Oryctolagus cuniculus: one gene and its partners. The protein of the gene in region 1 purifies or fractionates together with the protein of each later gene. This does not show direct contact. Links are inferred from orthologs where the notes say so. Each region holds a gene or a part of one and is shown on either strand. Other genes may lie near its edges.

Evidence for each region. The genes of interacting proteins can lie anywhere in the genome.
Region 2: the proteins of MYCBP (region 1) and SPAG5 purify together in Homo sapiens (co-immunoprecipitation; 3 studies listed by BioGRID and IntAct, with this or other methods). This does not show direct contact. The link is inferred for Oryctolagus cuniculus from reciprocal best matches to the Homo sapiens genes MYCBP and SPAG5.
Region 3: the proteins of MYCBP (region 1) and OTUD4 purify together in Homo sapiens (co-immunoprecipitation; 3 studies listed by BioGRID and IntAct, with this or other methods). This does not show direct contact. The link is inferred for Oryctolagus cuniculus from reciprocal best matches to the Homo sapiens genes MYCBP and OTUD4.

Annotation. Positions count from the first base shown.
Region 1 is NC_091438.1:133,965,116-133,971,214, reverse strand, and holds the start of MYCBP (C-Myc-binding protein), read right to left. Parts: upstream 3,883-6,099; 5' UTR 3,832-3,882; coding exon 3,748-3,831; intron 3,553-3,747; coding exon 3,480-3,552; intron 1-3,479. Other genes in the region: GJA9 (gap junction alpha-9 protein), read right to left, coding at 4,899-6,099. UniProt on the Homo sapiens protein: May control the transcriptional activity of MYC. Stimulates the activation of E box-dependent transcription by MYC.
Region 2 is NC_091448.1:44,103,470-44,109,279, forward strand, and holds the start of SPAG5 (sperm-associated antigen 5), read right to left. Parts: upstream 3,573-5,810; 5' UTR 3,431-3,572; coding exon 3,380-3,430; intron 3,127-3,379; coding exon 3,001-3,126; intron 1-3,000. UniProt on the Homo sapiens protein: Essential component of the mitotic spindle required for normal chromosome segregation and progression into anaphase. Required for chromosome alignment, normal timing of sister chromatid segregation, and maintenance of spindle pole architecture.
Region 3 is NC_091439.1:19,610,357-19,616,351, forward strand, and holds the start of OTUD4 (OTU domain-containing protein 4), read left to right. Parts: upstream 1-2,423; coding exon 2,424-2,582; intron 2,583-2,594; exon of another isoform or gene 2,595-2,778; coding exon of another isoform or gene 2,779-2,805; intron 2,806-3,019; exon of another isoform or gene 3,020-3,135; intron 3,136-3,820; exon of another isoform or gene 3,821-3,932; coding exon of another isoform or gene 3,933-4,022; intron 4,023-5,995.

The sequences.
Region 1 (6,099 bases):
GTAAACAGTTCTAAGCAAGGAAGACACAGGATCACCCTTGACTGCTGTGTGGGATGCCAACTGGAGTGGGACAAGGATGGAGGCTAGAGAAACAATTCCAAGGCAGATGTGGTAGTCCAGTCTAAGAAGTGACCTGCACTAGAGGGACAGAGGAGTGGGCAGAAAGAAATCTGGAGAAAATCCAGGTATCAAGAGGGCTATGGTGGCCAGTGCCACGGCTCAATAGGCTAATCCTCCACCTTGCGGCGCCGGCACACCGGGTTCTAGTCCTGGTCGGGGCATCGGATTCTGTCCCGGTTGCCCCTCTTCCAGGCCAGCTCTCTGCTGTGGCCAGGGAGTGCAGTGGAGGATGGCCCAAGTACTTGGGCCCTGCAGCCCATGGGAGACCAGGAGAAGCACTTAGCTCCTGCCTTCGAATCAGTGCGGTGCGCCGGCCCCAGCATGCCAGCCTCAGCGTGCTGGCCGCAGCAGCCATTGGAGGGTGAACCAATGGCCAAAGGAAGACCTTTCTCTGTCTTTCTCACTGTCCACTCTGCCTGTCAAAAAAAAAAAAAAAAAAGAGGGCTATGGTAATTACTGGAGGAAGCCTCAAATTCAAATGTTCTTCAAGAACGAAGTTTCACACATAGCATAACAAATAACCACCAACCAGAATTTCACCAGTATTCGACATTAAAATATATACTGTGATGGTTTCATATCCAATAGCTCACATGAGTACCACCTTGCTCTTCTATTGAACAAATTCCTCCTAGAATCTACTCAGAAATCTCACTAAACCAGTTAGACTTTTTGTAAATGAAACTCTTTGAAAGATCTCATGAAACAAAACATTGAACACGCAAAAAAAAAAATGTGCCCCTAGATCCTAAGAAGTCCTGTTGTAAGCCATTTTGCGTGCTTCCCCCTTTTGTCTTTTGCAGTTTTGATAAAATATAGAGTATGAAAAAAAATCAAACAGGCAACCACTTAACCATGTAATACCTTGACGGCACTGCTGCTTAAGAAGCTGGTGTATTTGCACCCCCGCTGTCCTCTCTCCTCTCCATCAGTGTCGGCTACAGTATTCTTTAAGCCCTGTTTATTACTTCTTTCTTCATATGCTCCAGCCTGTTCTTCTTCCATTAATTCCTACTGAGCTCTACTGAACCCTGAATTTCTGAGACATGGATATTCATACTCTTACCCTTTCCTCCCCCTTCTCTCCCACCCCACTTCTTTCAGTTTCTAAATTTGTCCATGGTCCTTAAAACCTGAATAAAGAATCGAATGTAAATGTTGTTTCCTGTGCTTTTCTATAGATGAAATATACTTCCTTTTAGTAAGAGAAGGAAAACTCTTTGCCTGATTATGTTCCCCTTTTTTGCCTAGGCAGCTAGAATGTTTAGAGGTTGATATAGTGCTCAAAATAACTAAAATGCCTTCTCTTCTAAAGATCTATCATCTTTAGCCATTCTCTTTTAGTATTTTGTTATAAGCAGTTCAAATCTTCTTGGAAATAGCTGGATAAAAAACTAATTTGTATAAAGAACCTATGTTTGAAGCTGAAAATAAAACTCTAAACTAAATTATACCAGTAGACACTACACTGGTGTTACGGAGAGTGGAAATCTAAGGAGATGAAGAGTTACAGTGCAGTGGGTGTGTGCAAGGGAAAAGGCGGCTCCAGGATCTTCCACCCTCATGAAGGAAAAACCCCACGTGGCCACAAGGCTGTGCCTCTCCTGTGCAGTCAGTTACCAAATCCTATCGTCCTCTGTTTTGGCTTTCTGCCACTCACTCCACCCAGCCACTTTGGCCTCCTTGATATCCCTTATCCAAAAAGCCTGGGCCAGAGTGTTTCAGATTGTTTTTTTTTTCTGGATTTTGGAATATTTGCATATACATGAACTATCTTAGGGATGGAATCCAAGTCTAAACAGTTTATTTGTTTCATAGACCTCTTATGCATATTGCCTAAAGACAAACTGACACAGTGTTTCTAAGGGTAAATTTACACAATGTGCATTATGACTGGCACCCATTACATGGGGTCAAGCTGCTGCATTTCCCACTTGTGGTGTCATGCTGACACTATGTTTCAGATAGCAGAGCATTCTGGATTTTAAAGACGATCAACCTGTAAGACTTCCTGGAACTCAACATTTCATTCAGGTCTCTGTTCGCAAGTTACTTCTAAAGGAAAGCCTTGGTACTCGCACACTTTGACTGAGTGGCACAATCACACCCACCACCTTCGGCCCCCTAACCTTGCTAGGTTTGCATTCCTAACACTTACCACTAGTTGACACTAAGTATTTATCTACGCTGTGTCTCCCCAGCTAGGATATTACTGCATGAGGCCTGGGACATTCTTCCCCCACTACTGTATCCCCAGTGTCTAGGAGGCCTGAATAAAATGGTTAAAGAAATGAGTTTGCTGGATTTTTTGAGGGAATGACATTCCAAGCATTCACGACAGTTGCAGTGACAACACAGCACAGCCTTTCACAGAGGAATTCCTTCACATTTGCTGAAACGTATTTGCAAAGACAGGGAGACTAGTATCGAACCCAACGTGGGTAGCAAGTCAAACAGCCATCCCTGCATAGGAATTAAGAGCCCTACCATCTTCTAAGACCAGAGAGTTCTTGGCCCAGAAGCTTCCCCCAAACCCTCGTTTCTGAACACAGAGCAGTTACCAAATTATTTCTCAGACATTTCCTGTTCTTTTCCCATGGTCCTGGTCTCATCTCTGCCAGCAATTCCGTTCTACACCCTGGAAAATCCCAGCCAGTGAGCCAGGCGACACACTGCTGAGCTCAGAAGCAAGCAGACCCCTTATCACCTCTGGGACCCCTGCTGTTTGAAGCATCTCCCCCAGTAGATCCTGAACCCACGCGGGCACTGATACAGTGTAACAGTGGACTTCCAGCTTTAAGCTTGTGCACAATATAAAAATTCTGATGTGTCCTCGGGCTTCACACACTGCATTTCTACCTTCAATACGAAATCTACACACAGCAGGAACTGAATTAGACCAAGACAGCGGGGGAAGCGAGGAGTGCTGCACAGCCCTCTTTCGTATCTGGTGTTTTCCCCAGCTGCCCTGGGTCGGAGGGAAAAATGTGTCTTAAGATTCAGGGGACGGGGTGGGGGTGGGGCTGGGGGGGTCCGCAAACGCCCCGAGGCGGGAGGAACCGGCACCTACAGGTCTCCAGCAAACACGACCACTGCGGCTGCTCCAGGCACAGCGGCGGAAGTTGGAGCGACTTTGCAACAGCTGCAAGAGCTGCGCTCTCGGCGCGGGGAGAGCGGGGAGCGGGAGCCAGGCCGCCCCGCCCGCGGCGGCCGGCAGCGCCCGGCCCCGAGCCCACCTCGCTGCGACCCGGACGGGTCCCACCTGTTCGCCCTCCTTCCCCGCGCCGAGGCCCGCCGGGGGCGCAGCGCCGAGCGGCAGGGCGAGGGGCACGCGGAGCCCTATCGGAGCCCATGCTCACCCTTGGTCAGCGTGTCCAGCACCCCCGACTTCTCCAAGTACCTCCGGAACTGCTCGCGCTTCGAGTCGGCGGCCTGAGGAGACACCGCGGGTCAGGGGCCGAAGCCCAGGGGCCGGAGCAGGAAGAAGGCTCTGGGAGTCCGGCAACCCCGCCTCCACCGCGCTACCGCGGGGACCCCCCACACCTGCGCGCGCTCCCACTCCCGCCCGGCGCCGACCCGCAGCTGGCGACCGCCCACACGCCCCCAGCCACGCCGCGCCCCCCTCACTTTGTAATGGGCCATAGTGACAGCGGCAGCGGCGTCGCTGGCGCCGGAGACCGTGGCTGGCGGGCTCCGGCCGGCACTGCTCATGCGCAGCAGGGCGCACGCGACTGCGCACTGGCGAGCCACGGGCCGGGGCGGCCGGGGTGTGGCCTGTTTTCATGGCGACCGGGACGCTCTGGATCCCCAGTCGGGGGCAGAGCCGAGGGAGGCTGCGTGCGCCCGCCCCTCGGGCTGTCCGAGCAGCGCCTCTTCCGGTCGCCGCGGCGATTCGGTTGCAGAGGGAGAAGCGAGGTCTCGGGAGCTGGGGCCTAGCGTCCAGGTGCGGCCGGAGGGGGCGTGGCGCCAGGGGGCGGGGCCCTCGAGCGCGCGGGCGGGAGGGGCGGTCGTCCCGGAAGCGCGCGCACGGTGGGCGCTGGGGGATCCGTGCGTTTCCAGTGTCCGAAGGTGCGTGCTGAGGCGTGAGCGTGCTGGCTGCGGCGCCCACATCTGGGTGCGGGCCCTGGAGGGCGAGCGGCCACGTGCTCCGGCAGCTGCCGGCGCCGCGGAGCGCTCACGGGTGCTTTCGCGTGAATCCTCACAGCCTCCCTGCCGTGTGCGAGCTGCCGGTGAAGTGGCGAGGTTGGGTGACCGGTGACGATGCGGGAGGCCGGTGGGAGACAGCCACAGATGTGTGTAGTATTTTATTGTGGTTACACTTCGTACACCTGAGGTTGCAGTCCACAAAGAAACTACGCTATGGAGTCCCAGGATACACAAAATACAAAATCACCCCCCCCACACACACACACACCGTTGTCCAAAGATAGAGGATAAAGGGGCTAAAAGAAGGCGCTATGGGGATCAAGAGCAATTTCCCAAAGCCATGGGCCCCTCCCAAGTAGGAAACCTGGCTCCAAACCACGTAGCCGCGATGCTGAACGTGTGGTTTTCACCTAGTGGATTTCACACATTCTAAAGAGAGCTATAGAAAATGAAGATAAGAAAAATCCTGACCTGGCAACCCTTGGTCTTTGAATTCAGAAGTGTCCCTGCACAGATGAGTCGCAGTTGCCACAGCCCTAACAGCTGCCCCTGGCCGTTTTGTCCGTGCTCCGCCTGGGCGAGGCTACTTCGCTGATAACGTAGGGCGCACCGGGTCCAGAAGCCAGAGCTGTTCAGATCTGGAGGTCGGTGGGAAGCCGCCTCCCCGCGAGGCTGTTGGTCAAGGACACTGCAGGATTTGGAGGACAAACAGGATTGTTGCAGGGTCTGACCAACCCAGGCTCACAGGACGGCTCTCTCAAAGAGCAGGGTCCCTGTGGAACAGGAAGCAGCTGGGAGTTCCCTTGTGAGGGTGGGAAGGTGCTGGTTGTGCCCTCCAGGAACTGGCCCTCGAGGTTGCCGTTTGGAATGAGGTGACCATTTGGAGGTGACCTCCAGTTTCCACCTTCTGTGGAGGGCCCCCGCGTGGCACTGAGCCACCTCGGTTTCCAGGTGTGGTTAGCTGGCAGAGAGACACCTGCTTGGGGCAACCTCTCGGTGTAGTTGTCCAGGTCTCCAGCAACACTTGACACAGAACAGTGACCTCTGCTGCAGTGGTTCCTTTGGCTGTCTTGGCCGTCAGTTGCTCTTTTTTCCCTTAACTGGTTCCCATTAGCTGCTTTTCCAAATGTTTTATGAGGATCTTTGCTATGATTGGAGCGGATGTGTTGAAGATGACTGTAAGCAGTATGAAGTGAACGCATCTTATCAGAAAATACAGCTCCTGGTTCATCCAGAGCACATTGCTGGTCATTTACACTGTGACTGCCAGGATCTGCCTGGAATGGGGGAGATGGATTTAAACTAGGGTGCACTGCCCTGTGTGTTTGCTTTTCCGCTGAGAGATGACCAGGCGCAGGAGGGAGTCGCTTTGGCGACTTGGCAGGTGCCCTCTGATTTTGTTTGGACTGGTTTGCATGGAATTCCTTATGTTCACCCTTCCATTTAGATTGGCCCCAAAGCCCTCTTTTAATCTTTTTAAACCCTAGGTAGAAGATTTCTAGAATGCTCAAGAAAAGTGAAACCGTGGCTATGGATTGCATAAATAATAGGAATATTGTCTTTTCTGTTGGTCGTGAGACAAAACAGTCAATTATGTTTGGACAGGGCTGCCTGTGGCATTTAAATAGAGGCTGCAGGTGGAATCCATATAAAAGGTATTGTCCAATCATGAAGCTGACTTCAAGCACAGAGCGAGTGAGAACGTGTATCACGTAGGTGCACAGTAGGGCTTCTGGGAGTGGAGCTTTACTCCGTTTCCTCTGTCCCAGCTGCCAAAGCTCTGGCTCCAGGTTCCTCTGATCCCCAGACGTCTCGAATCCTACCCTTTCCGGT
Region 2 (5,810 bases), on another chromosome or scaffold:
TGAGGATATCTATCCATGTCACAGGGAGATGCAGCTTGAATGTGACCCTACTCATCCCTATACCTAACTCCAACTCATATCCAGAGAAACAGAGAGAAAGGTCGATGGGGTGTGAGTGAAGGCTCAAAGCCTCTATCTGTAATACTGGCATCCCTCTGAGAACTGATTTAAATCCCAGCTGCTCTACTTCTGACTCAGCTCCCTGCTAATGTGCCTGGGAAAGCAGTGGAAGATGGCCCAAGTATTTGGGACCCTGCCACCCATGTGGGAGAGTCGAATGAAGTTCCTGGCTTCTGGCTTCAGCTTAGGCCAGCCCTAGCTGTTATAGCCATTTGGGTAGTGAACCAGTGTATGAAAAATCTCTCTTTCTCTCTCTTTCTCCCTTTCTCTAACTCTTTCAAATAAATAAAATTTTAAAGAATATTCAAATTTAACACATACAAAACAAACTTTACAGAAATAATAATTACCTTAAAGAAAAAAATCTCAGTAAAATGAATTGGAAAGGGGCCGACGCTGTGGCATAGCAGATAAGGCTGCCGCCTATAGTGCCGGCATCCCATATTGGTGCCAGTTCGTGTACCAGCTGCTCTACTTCCGATCCAACTCTCTGCTATAGCCTGGGAAAGCAGAAGACGGTCCAAGTGCTTGGGCCTCTGCCACCCACATGGGAGAACCAGAAGCAGCTCCTGGCTCCTGGCTTCGAATTGGCCCAGCTCCGGCCATTGCAGCCATTTGGGGAGTGAACCAGCAGATGGAAGACCTCTCTTTCTCTCTCTGCCTCTGCCTCTCTGTAACTCTGCCTTTCAAATAAATAAATAAGCCTTAAAAAAAAAAAAAAAAAAAAAAAAAGGAAAGATAAAGGACAAAGAAAACATAAATCTGAGGGAAAAGCTAGGAAAAATGGAAGATAAACCCAGGAAACCTAACATTTGAATAAAAGAAATTCCAGAAGAAAAGAGAACATAATACAGATGAGGTACTGATTAACAAATGTTAGGGTGTAGGTATTAAAATGCCAGTTGAGATGCCTGAATCCCACCTCAGAGTGCCTGGGTTTGAATCCTGATTTTGCTTCTGATTACAGCTCCCTGCCAATGTGCAGCCTGGGAGTCAGTACTTAGGTCCCTGCCACCCATGTGGAAGACCTAGATTCTGCGCTCCTAGGTTCATCCTGGCTCACCCATAGCAGATGCAGGCATTTGGAGAGTAAACCAGTGGTTGGTAGATCTCTGTCACTATCTCTGCCTTTCACATAAATAAATAAAAAATTTAAATAAAAAAAAATTTAAGGGGTCAGCGCTGTGGTATAGAGGGTAAAGCCGCTGTCTGCAGTGCTGGCATGTTATATGGACACTGGTTTGAGTCCTAGCAGTTCCACTTCCAATCCAGCTCCCTGTTAATGTACCTGGGAAAGCAGTAGAAGATGGCCTAAGAACTTGGGCCCCTGCACATACGTAGAATACCCAGGAGATGCTCCCGGCTCCTGGCTTCTGATAGGGCTAGCTCCAGCCATTGAGGCCACTTGAGGAGTGAACCAGTGGCTGGAAGATCTCTCTCTCTCTCTGTGTTAATGCTGCTTTTCAAATAAATAAATAAATCTTTTTAAAAGTTTAAAACAAATATTAGAATAAAATTTCTCTAAGGTAAAGAAAGATCTGAGTCAGCATATGAAAATGGAAAGGAACTGGCACTGTGGTGCAGGTTAAGCCACTGCTTGTGATGCTGGCAACCCACACTGGAGTGCAGTTTGAGTCTTGGCTGCTCCACATTTGATCCAGTTCCATGCTAGTGCACCAGGCCTAATTACTTGGGCCCCTGACACCCATGTGTGAGACCAGGTTGGAATTCCTGGCTTCAGTCTGGCCCAGTCCCAGTTCTTGCAGCCATTTAGAGAGTGAACCAGCAGATGGAAGGTCACTTGCTTGCTCTCTCTCTCTCTCTCCTCCCCCCACCCCCAAGTTCTGTCTGAGAGGCAGAGTTACAGATAGAGAGAGGGAGAAACACAGAGAGAGGCCTTTCATCTGCTGGTTTACTCCCCAAATGGTCATAATGGCCAGAGCTGGAATGATCCAAAGCCAGGAGCCAGAAGCGTCTTAGGGGTCTCCTATGTAGATGCAGGAGCCCAAGCACTTTCCCAAGCCATTAGCAGGGAGCTGGATCGGAAATGAAGCAGCCAGGTCTTTAACTGGCATCCATATGGGATATTGGTGCTGCAGGTGGATGCTTAACCTATGCCACAGTGCTGGCCCCCAAAAAAATAAATCTTAAAAAAAAAAAAAAAAAGTAACTGGCACTAATCATCAAATTTGACCCTAAGCTTTCTGGAAGCCAGAGAAAGAGGAAAAATATGGCAAAGTCACAGTTCTCATTACAAAAAGGATAGCAATTTCTTTAGGAAGATAATTTTCCCAGGTAATAAATCAAAAATATTTCTTTTAGGAACCTTCTAGAAGGGTCATTTGGCTTCCTTGGCAAGTTTTTACAACAAATGAAGAGCAGTTTGTACATGGCTACATCTTTCAAGATCTTTGACAAAAGTACAACTCACTGAGGGCAGTCTGCAAGGGATAAGCTAGGGAGTCCAAGCACCCTATCTTCCATTGATGTAATTTGATCCCAAGAGACTTGGCCACCTCCTGGAGTGGAAGGAGACAGCTCATTCTTGTAGCAAATAGACCTCTTCATACCTAAGCCATGTTAGAGGGAGACCACCAATCAGAGTGCTAGTATATCCCAACAGTTTGATAAAGGTCGAATGGGAAAGGAGGTAATAAAAACTCCCAGCTACCAGCTAAATGGAGATTCAGGTTCTCGGTGGATTTCCTTTTAACTACCCGAGGGCACCTCTCAGTTGGCCTGAATAGCTGTAAATAGAAGTCACTGAGGTAGAAGACTTCATTATCGTTATTAATTACGTTCCAGCCCCGGCCCTCTGCTCCTCTGAGCTCTCGGCCTGGGCAAACAGCCCAGGCGAGAAGCTGTCCAGGCGAATCTCACCTGCAGCCCCAGCTTGCACAGCGATGGGGTCAGCGAGGAGCACGCAGGCGACATTTTTCCAGAGTTGCTGAGGGGACTGGGCTGCAGCATGAGCTCTCGGAGAGGAGTCCTCATAGCTGGTTTCCCCTGAGAAGGAACGTGAGAAGTCAGTGAGTGTGAGGAAGCTCGGGTTCTGCCAGCCCGGCCTCCTTCCTTCTGGAGAAGCCCTTGAGTCAAAAAGAAGAGTAAGGGTCCCACTCCTATCGAGCCGTAGCCACAAAAAGACTCCTCGGGCCCCCCGCCCCCAACTCGACCCAGTTTCCCGGGAACCTTGGCACTGCCGGTCCCCTCGCCCCCATACCCCGGCCCAGCGCTCTCTCCTCCAGACCCTCCCGCTCACCGGCTGAGGCGAAGGCGACAGGCCGAGGTTCAGTTTCTTCACCCTCCACATCTTTAACACAAGACGCAGATCGATCACCTGCCCGAAAGATTCGCGAACCCCATGTCCACCCGCCGTCTTTATTTGAACCGACTCTGCGCTTCCCGATTGGCTGTGGAGACGCAGTGCGTCAGAACGGTGCGTCGCTCGAGGCTGGAGCCCGGCGGCGCCCGGAGGGCGGGGCCTCGCTTAGCCACGCCCCCTCAGGCTGGACCCGCCCACGCGCGGCGCGCCGTCTCCCGAGCAACTCTACCTCAGACGCCGGCTTGAGGACTGGACACGGACCAGGTCGGAGGCGGGAGTTGTGTCCGCACATCAGAGAGGACCGGACAGGTAGCTGGAGAGTCGGGGACTCCATCCTTCCTGCTTCCAGTGGACCGCCCTCACACCCCGTCAGGAAAGTTGTCAGGTCTCGTCAGGTCTCCCTTAGTAACGCATCGCCTCAGCCTTGACAGGAAAGAGCAGGCCGGGGAGACCAGGATGATGGGTGAGTGGGTGCTTTTTCCTGACGCTTGGGCAGTTTGTGCTTAGGTCCTCACACCCGTGCGGGCCTGGGACGTAGTTCTCAACCTGGGCCCCGGTGCCTGTGCCAACCTTCTGGACTTTGCCTGGAGCTGACCTTGGGGCCTGTGACAAGTCCACCGGAATAGTAGCTACCATGTACTGTGTTGAGCATTTATGTACCTGGTGCGGTGCCTTTTTTTTTTTTTTTAAGATGTATGTATTTATTTTAAAGAGTTACACACAGAGAGAAGGAGAGGGAGAGAGAGGTCTTCCATCCGATGGTTCACTCCCCAGTTGGCCGCAATGACCGGAGCAGCGACGATCCAAAGCCAGGAGCTTCTTCCAGGTCTCCCATATGGGTGCAGGGGTCCAAGGACTTGGGCCATCTTCTACTGCTTTCCCAGGCCATAGCAGAGAGCTGGATTGGAAATGAAGCAGCCGGGACTCAAACTGGCGCCCATATGGGATGCTGGCACTGTAGACAGCGACTTTACCCACTATGCCACAGCGCTGGCTCTTGCAGTGCCTTTTTCTATGTATTCGCTCATTCAATCCTCATAAGGACCTACGAAGTAGGAATGGCTGTAAACATCCCCATTTTATAGACGAAGGAACTGAAACCTAGAAAGAGTATGTCGTTTGTCCGAGGTCCCACATAGTAGACACAGCCCACTACATTCTGCTGTCTCTTGCATTCCTCCTATTTGAGAAATCTGTCCATTGAAAGTGGGATTGGTTTTTGAAAGCAGCCGAAAGGCAGGTATTCAGAGTTCATCAGTGGTGGGCGAGTGTTCCTTTTGAAGCCTCAGGGCACCTTATTTACACTCTGGAAGTCCTAATGACTTGGGCAAAGCAGCAGTCCCAAAGGGAGGAACTATATATAGTCGGTTATGAACTGCAGGGCCCTCAGGCTATAGGCTGTTCTAGAACTGGGCTGTTCAATACCTCAGCCACTAGCCTAACACGTGGTGTTGAGCACCCAGATGTTGCTAATCTAAATTGGGAGTAGCCCTAGGTGTAAAATACCCACTGGATTTTGAAGCTTTTGTACAAAAAAGGCAAAATGTTATAACTTTTAAAAAGTGTTTTTTCAAATAAAAAGATGCTTAGAGCAAGTGAGACAATACATAAAATGCAAAGATGTATTAAAGACACTCCACCCTCCTACAGTAACCAGTTTTATATTCCCCTTTAGAAAAACATGCATGTACACACACATATAGAGGTTTTATTTCATTTACTTACATACACATACATATGCACTGATTTTATTTTTCCCCAAAATTAATTGAAGCACACTGGAGTGTTTGGGACTGTGGGTTATGTCTTCTACCCCCCACCCCCACCCCACCACCCCTTTTTTTCCACTAGAATTACTTTCTCCTTCCTTGGTTCTTTTCTCTGATAATCTTTTTTTTGGGGGAGGGGGCAGGCAGAGTGGACAGTGAGAGAGAGAGAGAAAGGTCTTCCTTTTGCCATTGGTTCACCCTCCAATGGCCGCCACGGCCGGCGCGCTGCGGCTGGTGCATCGCACTGATCCGAAGCCAGGAGCCAGGTGCTTCTCCTGGTCTCCCATGGGGTGCAGGGCCCAAGTACTTGGGCCATCCTCCACTGCACTCCCGGGCCATAGCAGAGGGCTGGCCTGGAAGAGGGGCAACTGGGACAGAATCCGGCGCCCCGACCAGGACTAGAACCTGGTGTGCCGGCGCCGCAAGGCGGAGGATTAGCCTAGTGAGCCACGGCGCCAGCCCTTCTCTGATATTCTTTCTCAATGCTCCCCCCCACCACCACCACTTATGTACAAACTGGGCAGATGAAATCTTTTACAAAACTGGGATTTCTTACACTTCTGTATTGTGGTCCATTCAGTGGATTGTAAAAACCTTTC
Region 3 (5,995 bases), on another chromosome or scaffold:
GATTGGGGCGCTGGATTCTGTCCCAGTTGCTCCTCTTCCAAGCCAGCTCTCTGCTGTGGCCAGGGAGTGCAGTGGAGGATGGCCCAAGTGCTTGGGCCCTGCACCGGCATGGGGGACCAGGAGAAGCACCTGGCTCCTGGCTTCAGAGCTGCGCAGCGTGCAGGCTGTAGCAGCCATTTGGGGGGTGAACCAAAGGAAGGAAGACCTTCCTCTCTGTCTCTCTCTCTCTCTCACTGTTCACTCTGCCTGTCAAAAAAAAAAAAAAAGAAAAGAAAAGGATGACTAATTGCTTCCATGGAAAATACTGAGAAAAGTGTTTCTGTGATTTTTGTTGGACTCTTGCCATCTGGCCTGCCTAACCCCAATTTTAGAGTTTATTTGGTTACATGTCGAAACCTACAGCAATCACCTTTCTTCTCTCTCCCCCCTAGCAGTCCCTCAACACTGGAGTAGGTTTTATGATTAACCATGACTTTAAATAGGGCAGCAGATGCTGTTGTGTTCTAGTAAAATAAAATTCTGGTTTCCCAGAAGCGTGCTGGGTAAATTCTGGGATCTGGAGCAGGACTCAACTTTGCCAATTCCCTACCATTCAACTTCGGAGGGTAGGTGTAAGGCCGCCATAGAAACACACCAAACACTGGAGTAAGCGAAAGAGTTTATTGGGGGAATCCCGACAGACTGGAGGGAAGGGGGTAGATCGCGCCATTTTACTAACAGTAGGAAGTTAAGATAGTATTTTTCTGCACTGCCGGAACAGGAAGTCTCTTAACAAGCAAGTGCAAGGTGATTTAAAAAAATTTTTTTTCACAAGGTGACTTTAAAAAACAGCTCTTTATTTGAAAGTCACAATGACAGAGAGGGAGGGACAGAAAGCAAAAAAAAATTTAAAAAATATAAAAAAAATTATAAAAAATAACTCTTCCAACTGCTGGTTCACTTCCCGAATGGCCACAACAGCCAGGGCTGGGCCAGGCCAAAACCAGGAGCCTGGAGCTCCACCCGGGTGTCCCACGTGGGTGCACGCAGGGGGCCCAAGTACTTGGACCATCACCCTCTGCTTTCCCAGGTGCACGAGTGGGAGCTGGATCGGAAGTGCAGCAGCCGGAACTGGAACTGGCGCTGGGATGTGGGGATGGCAGTGTCCCTGGCGGCGAGCTGGCCGCCCCAAAGGTGACTTTTTTTTAAGGGGGAAAAAAATAAACAACCCTCACGAACTTTGGTTAACAGTGCCATTGCTCCCTGTTGAGGATGCGCAACTAGGGACAGGGTGAACAAAACAAATCGTTGGCAACGGCATCATCTTGGCCCAGTGTGTGACCTGTTCTGATTTCTGAAAGGAAACCAGCAGCCCGCGGGGGGGATCTGTAGACCGCCTTGGTCGGTTCCACACGCTTTCGCCGATCAGTTCTATTTTCCTGCTTAAGCCGTTAAGGCCGCCTCTGTGGAGTCGCCAGGCAAGCGGGCCTCGGGGAGCCGGGCAGACAGGTGCGCCCTCTGTTTGGAAATACACAAAGGGCCGGCATCGCGGCCGCTGTGTCCCTGGCAACTCCACGCACGCGAGGCGCGCGCACTTCCCGCGGGCCCGCGGCGCACGGGGCGGCCGGGCGGGGCGGCGGCGAGCCTCGGCCTGCTCGCGGACGCGGCGCCTGGGACGCGCCAAGGCGGCTCCGGCGGCGGCGGCGGCGGCGCCCGCGCTGTAGGGACTTGTAGTCCGCGTGCCTCCCGGGCGCCTCCCCCCGGGTAGGCAGGCCCGGGCGTCCCCGTCCGCCGCAAGCCGACTTCCTGCCGCTGCCAAAAACTACACCTCCCGCCGTCCTCTCCGCGGCCGGGCCGAAAGCGAAAACAAAATTCTGAGCTGCCAGGGTGCTGCCCTCCGCCGGGCGCCCCCTCCCGCCGCCCGCCCCTCAGGCGCCCTCAGGCGAGGTGGGGAGACGCGAGGCCGCGGCTCTTTTCTTCTGGTTTCCTCAGCGCCCGGCGAGGGGAGCGCGCGGGGTAGGCGGGCAGGCCGCGGCTCACCTGAGCCGGCCCCGCGAGCGCGCCGGGGGCGGGGGCTTCCTCGCTCCACGCCGGTCGGGACCAGGAAACTCGTGCGGGCGGCGACCCCCGGCCCGGTTCCTGACTGGGCGGCGAGGCCCCCGGGACGCGACTCTCGTCCCTCGGGATTTTCTTCGCTCCCTGCCGCCCCACGCCGTCTCCTCTCTGGGCGCGTGGTCCCTCCGGGGAGGCGGTCGCGTGCGGCCGGCCATGCACTAGGCAGGGCTCGCCCTATGCGTCTGGGGAGCGCGGACCGCTGCCTCGGGCCGCCGCCTGCTGCCGCTCGCGGAGCCGGAGCCGGAGCCAGGCCGGGGCGTCGAGCTGCCGGCGGCGCGGCCATGTGGGGCTAGCCCGCGCCGCGCCTGGCCTGCAGCGGAACCGGCAACATGGAGGCGGCCGTCGGCGCCCCGGACGGCGGGGACCAGGGCGGCGCGGGGCCCCGCGAGGACGCGACGCCCATGGACGCCTATCTGCGGAAACTGGGCTTGTATCGCAAACTGGTCGCCAAGGACGGGTCGTGCCTGTTCCGGGCCGTGGCGGAGCAGGTAATGGGCGCGGGGAAGCCGGTGCGGCCGGTGGGGCTGGGTGGGGGAAGCGGCGGCGGCCCCGGGCCGTCCGGGACGCCCCCGTCCGGGGGGCTGCGCGTGGCCCGCGGCCGTCACCACCGCCCATTGTAACGCCCGAGTGCGGCGCCGCTTTGGGGTCTGCAAGCTGGCCTTGGAGATCGGGGGGCCTTGCGTTATGCGGGTGCCGTCTCTTGCTGACGAGGTAATGAGTGTGGGACGACGGGGAGGGGTGATGGTGCTGGCGACACGGTATTTTCCACTTGGGTGCCGCATTCGGCTTGCCGTGTAAAAAGAGCGTTCACGCCGGTAAACCGCATGTTTGCGGGAGGTGGTGGTGCCCCAGGCTGGACTTGTGGAACGTATTTTTCCTGCTAGTGGACTTTGGAATGTGCGGGAGTCCAGCTCGCCGCCGATGTCACTTGAGCCCAGGGAGCCGACTTCGCCATACGAGAAAGCCAGCCTTTGACAAAGAGAGTATTTTGAATGAATTGGCTTTGGGTGTAGTCCACACTTGCTCTGCAAGGCGGTGGAGGTATACTAAAAAGAAGTTACTTTTAACAGGGGGAAAAAAAAGACTTGTTTCGGTGTTGGCGGGAGGAAGGGTGTAACTGGGTGTTCTCTAGGCCCTTCCTGAACGGATTTTTACCCGTTAAATTTTTGTCCAATACAGTTGGTTAGCAAGATGCTTGTGATTTTGGGGGGGGGGGTTAATTTCTTTGGAGAAAGAGCTTGTTCCATGTTTTGCCACATCGTATTGGAGGTTTACGGTCACCCAAATCCATCCTGTATTGAAAAAATAGCTGCTGAGTAGTCCATCTTTAAAAAGTTTCACCTGACTGCCTTGGTTTGTATTTTGTGCCTTTCGCTGTTTGCCCTCCTTTGCCTTAAGGTGTGCTCCTCCCTACCCCCTATGGGGTTTTTATGTTGTTTGGTCTTTTTTTTCTGTCACCGTTTTTGAATGGTAAATAGCTTTTACAATTTCTATTGTGAGTAAATGTTTCACTTAACATGTTGAGTTCAGTTAGTTTCTCTCTCTCTCTCTTTTTTTAGTAGGAAAAGGCTAGTAGTTTGTTTTCCAAAGATCTTCACATCTGTAGTGTAAATCTTTTATAACAAGAAATTGATGTAACATAAATCTTTCCATTATATGCTACAGAGATTGTCATTGAAGCATTCCTAAAGCTCCCCAAACCAGGCTCTGCCTTTTTCAGTTCCTTAACTTTCTCTCATTTTCAGGAGTTTGAGATGCTCCAGTGTGGGTAGGATATGTTCACACACACCCACCCTAGTCCTTACTATTAGTAGGTAAACAGTCTGCCCCATTCATTTATGAATTTGCCGGGTCTCTGTCTGTTTTGCTTCTTCTGGCTCAGCTACTTTGGACTCCTGAGCACCTTCAGAAAGAGAGAAGAGGTAGAGGTAAATTCAGCTCATTTTATGTACTGTTAGCTTTAGCGAAAGTTTGGTAAGGAAGGATGTCGAAATTAATAAATATGAAGCGGAACTGGAAGCTTATTTGGGATTGAATTATCCAAGTCTTAGTTTTTATTTCTATTGGAGCAGAATGGTGTGTCTGCTTTCAGTATTACACGCTATAGTTGGATGAACTTGATTTTACTGAGGCCTGCTACTGTAGCGTGATCTCTATTTTTAAGTGGAAAGTTCTTAACGAAGCACTCATCAACATCAGGTAACAATTTATTGTATTTTTGCTTTGTAGTGATTTAAGGGAGATATAACAGACTACTCTATCCGGTTATGTGACTGATTTTTAGTATACTGGGGGAAGCTCACCTAATTCAGTAGATAAGGACCAAGTGTATAGCCATCTTGGCCAAAGGCAAAGTGTGCATGTGGGGAAAAGGGAAATAACACCCACTTCTGACTGCCCTTTTAAAGTATGTGCATAGGATTTGTTTTTATGTGAATAATTTTTCCTGTGAAATCACGAGCAGGTTATCCAAATGGCAGTGTTCAGAGATGGGGAGGAGACTTGAGTTAGGAGTCACTCTTCCTCTAAATTATCTGGTTTAGATAGGCCCTTTCCTTTTTACACTTGTAGATTTAGGCCTGCAGGAGGCCTGACCTGAATCAGTTCCATAGTCAGGGAGCTAAAAATAGGGCACTCTTAGAGGACTTGGTAAAATAGTGTGTCTCAGCCTTTTTCCAGTGTTTATCACTGTGTGGTCTCAAATAAAGATTTGAAAGCCTCCTATCTCTAGCTTATTTTCATCATACAATAATTTGCTAAGGTAGATGTTTGTCATACCATTTGAATCCTGAGTGTCCTTGAACTTGCACACTAACTTGCTTTTTAAACTTTTCATTTAACATTGCTTTTCTTGGCGGTATTTGTCTTTGTAAATTACTGGTAGCCCACACTTTAGGGGAGTTGTGAGAGTTTTGTTTCAGAGCAGTAGGTACAGATTGATTCCATTTAAGTCTGTTAAAAGGAAAAAAACCAGTAGATATGTCTTGCCATTGTTTCTGATACTAACATACTAACATATGTCTGCCACCTGTTGCTAGGTAAATGGCTTTAATGCCAGCTTCATCTTGCTAACAGCAGGAAAGGCCTATCAGATGACACTGTGGTTTTACTCATGCTAATACTACCTTGATTCATAATAGTGTTTAAGATAGCTTTTGTGCAAGGCAGTGTTGCTGAATGTCATTTGCTAAATTGGCAAGGAAAAAAGCAACAAAAACAATTATCTTATGGTGTTTATTTGTATATATGGACAATCTTTTTTGCACTGGAAGCTTAAGATATATAAGGATACTTTTTAATAATGTCCCAAGATGGCAATGAAAGTACACCCAGTTAAGCTGAAAGCCAACTAGTATACTGAAAACAAACTCATTGGAAATGTCAGCTAGTGCATCATCAGTGTATTTTAGTGCAGTGGGACATACTACCTGTGTGGTTCTGTGGGTATAAATGAACTTGACTCCAAGAGACCTACAGAATGTGATGCTTGAGCTCATCATGAACAGAAGGGAGAATGAAGTGGGAATATAACATTTATTTATTTGACAGGCAGGGTGAGAGGAGGAGAGAGAGGGAGGGAAAGAGAGACATAGATAGATAGATAACTTCCATCTGCTGGTTTACACCCCAAATGACTACAAGGATTGGGGCTGGTCCAGCCCAGAAACTCATCCTGGTCTCCCTAGATATGGGTGGCAGGGGCCCAGGTACTTAGGCCATCTTCCACTGCTTTCCCGGGAACATAAGCAGGGAGTTGGGTGGGAAGTTGGAGTAGCCAGGGCTCGAACTGGCATCCTGAGATGTGGGTGGTTTGAAGCCACAGCTTAACCTACTGAGCTATAATGCTGGCCCCTGGAGCTGTAACTTTTTAAAAAAGTTTTTTTAAAGTTTATTTTCATTT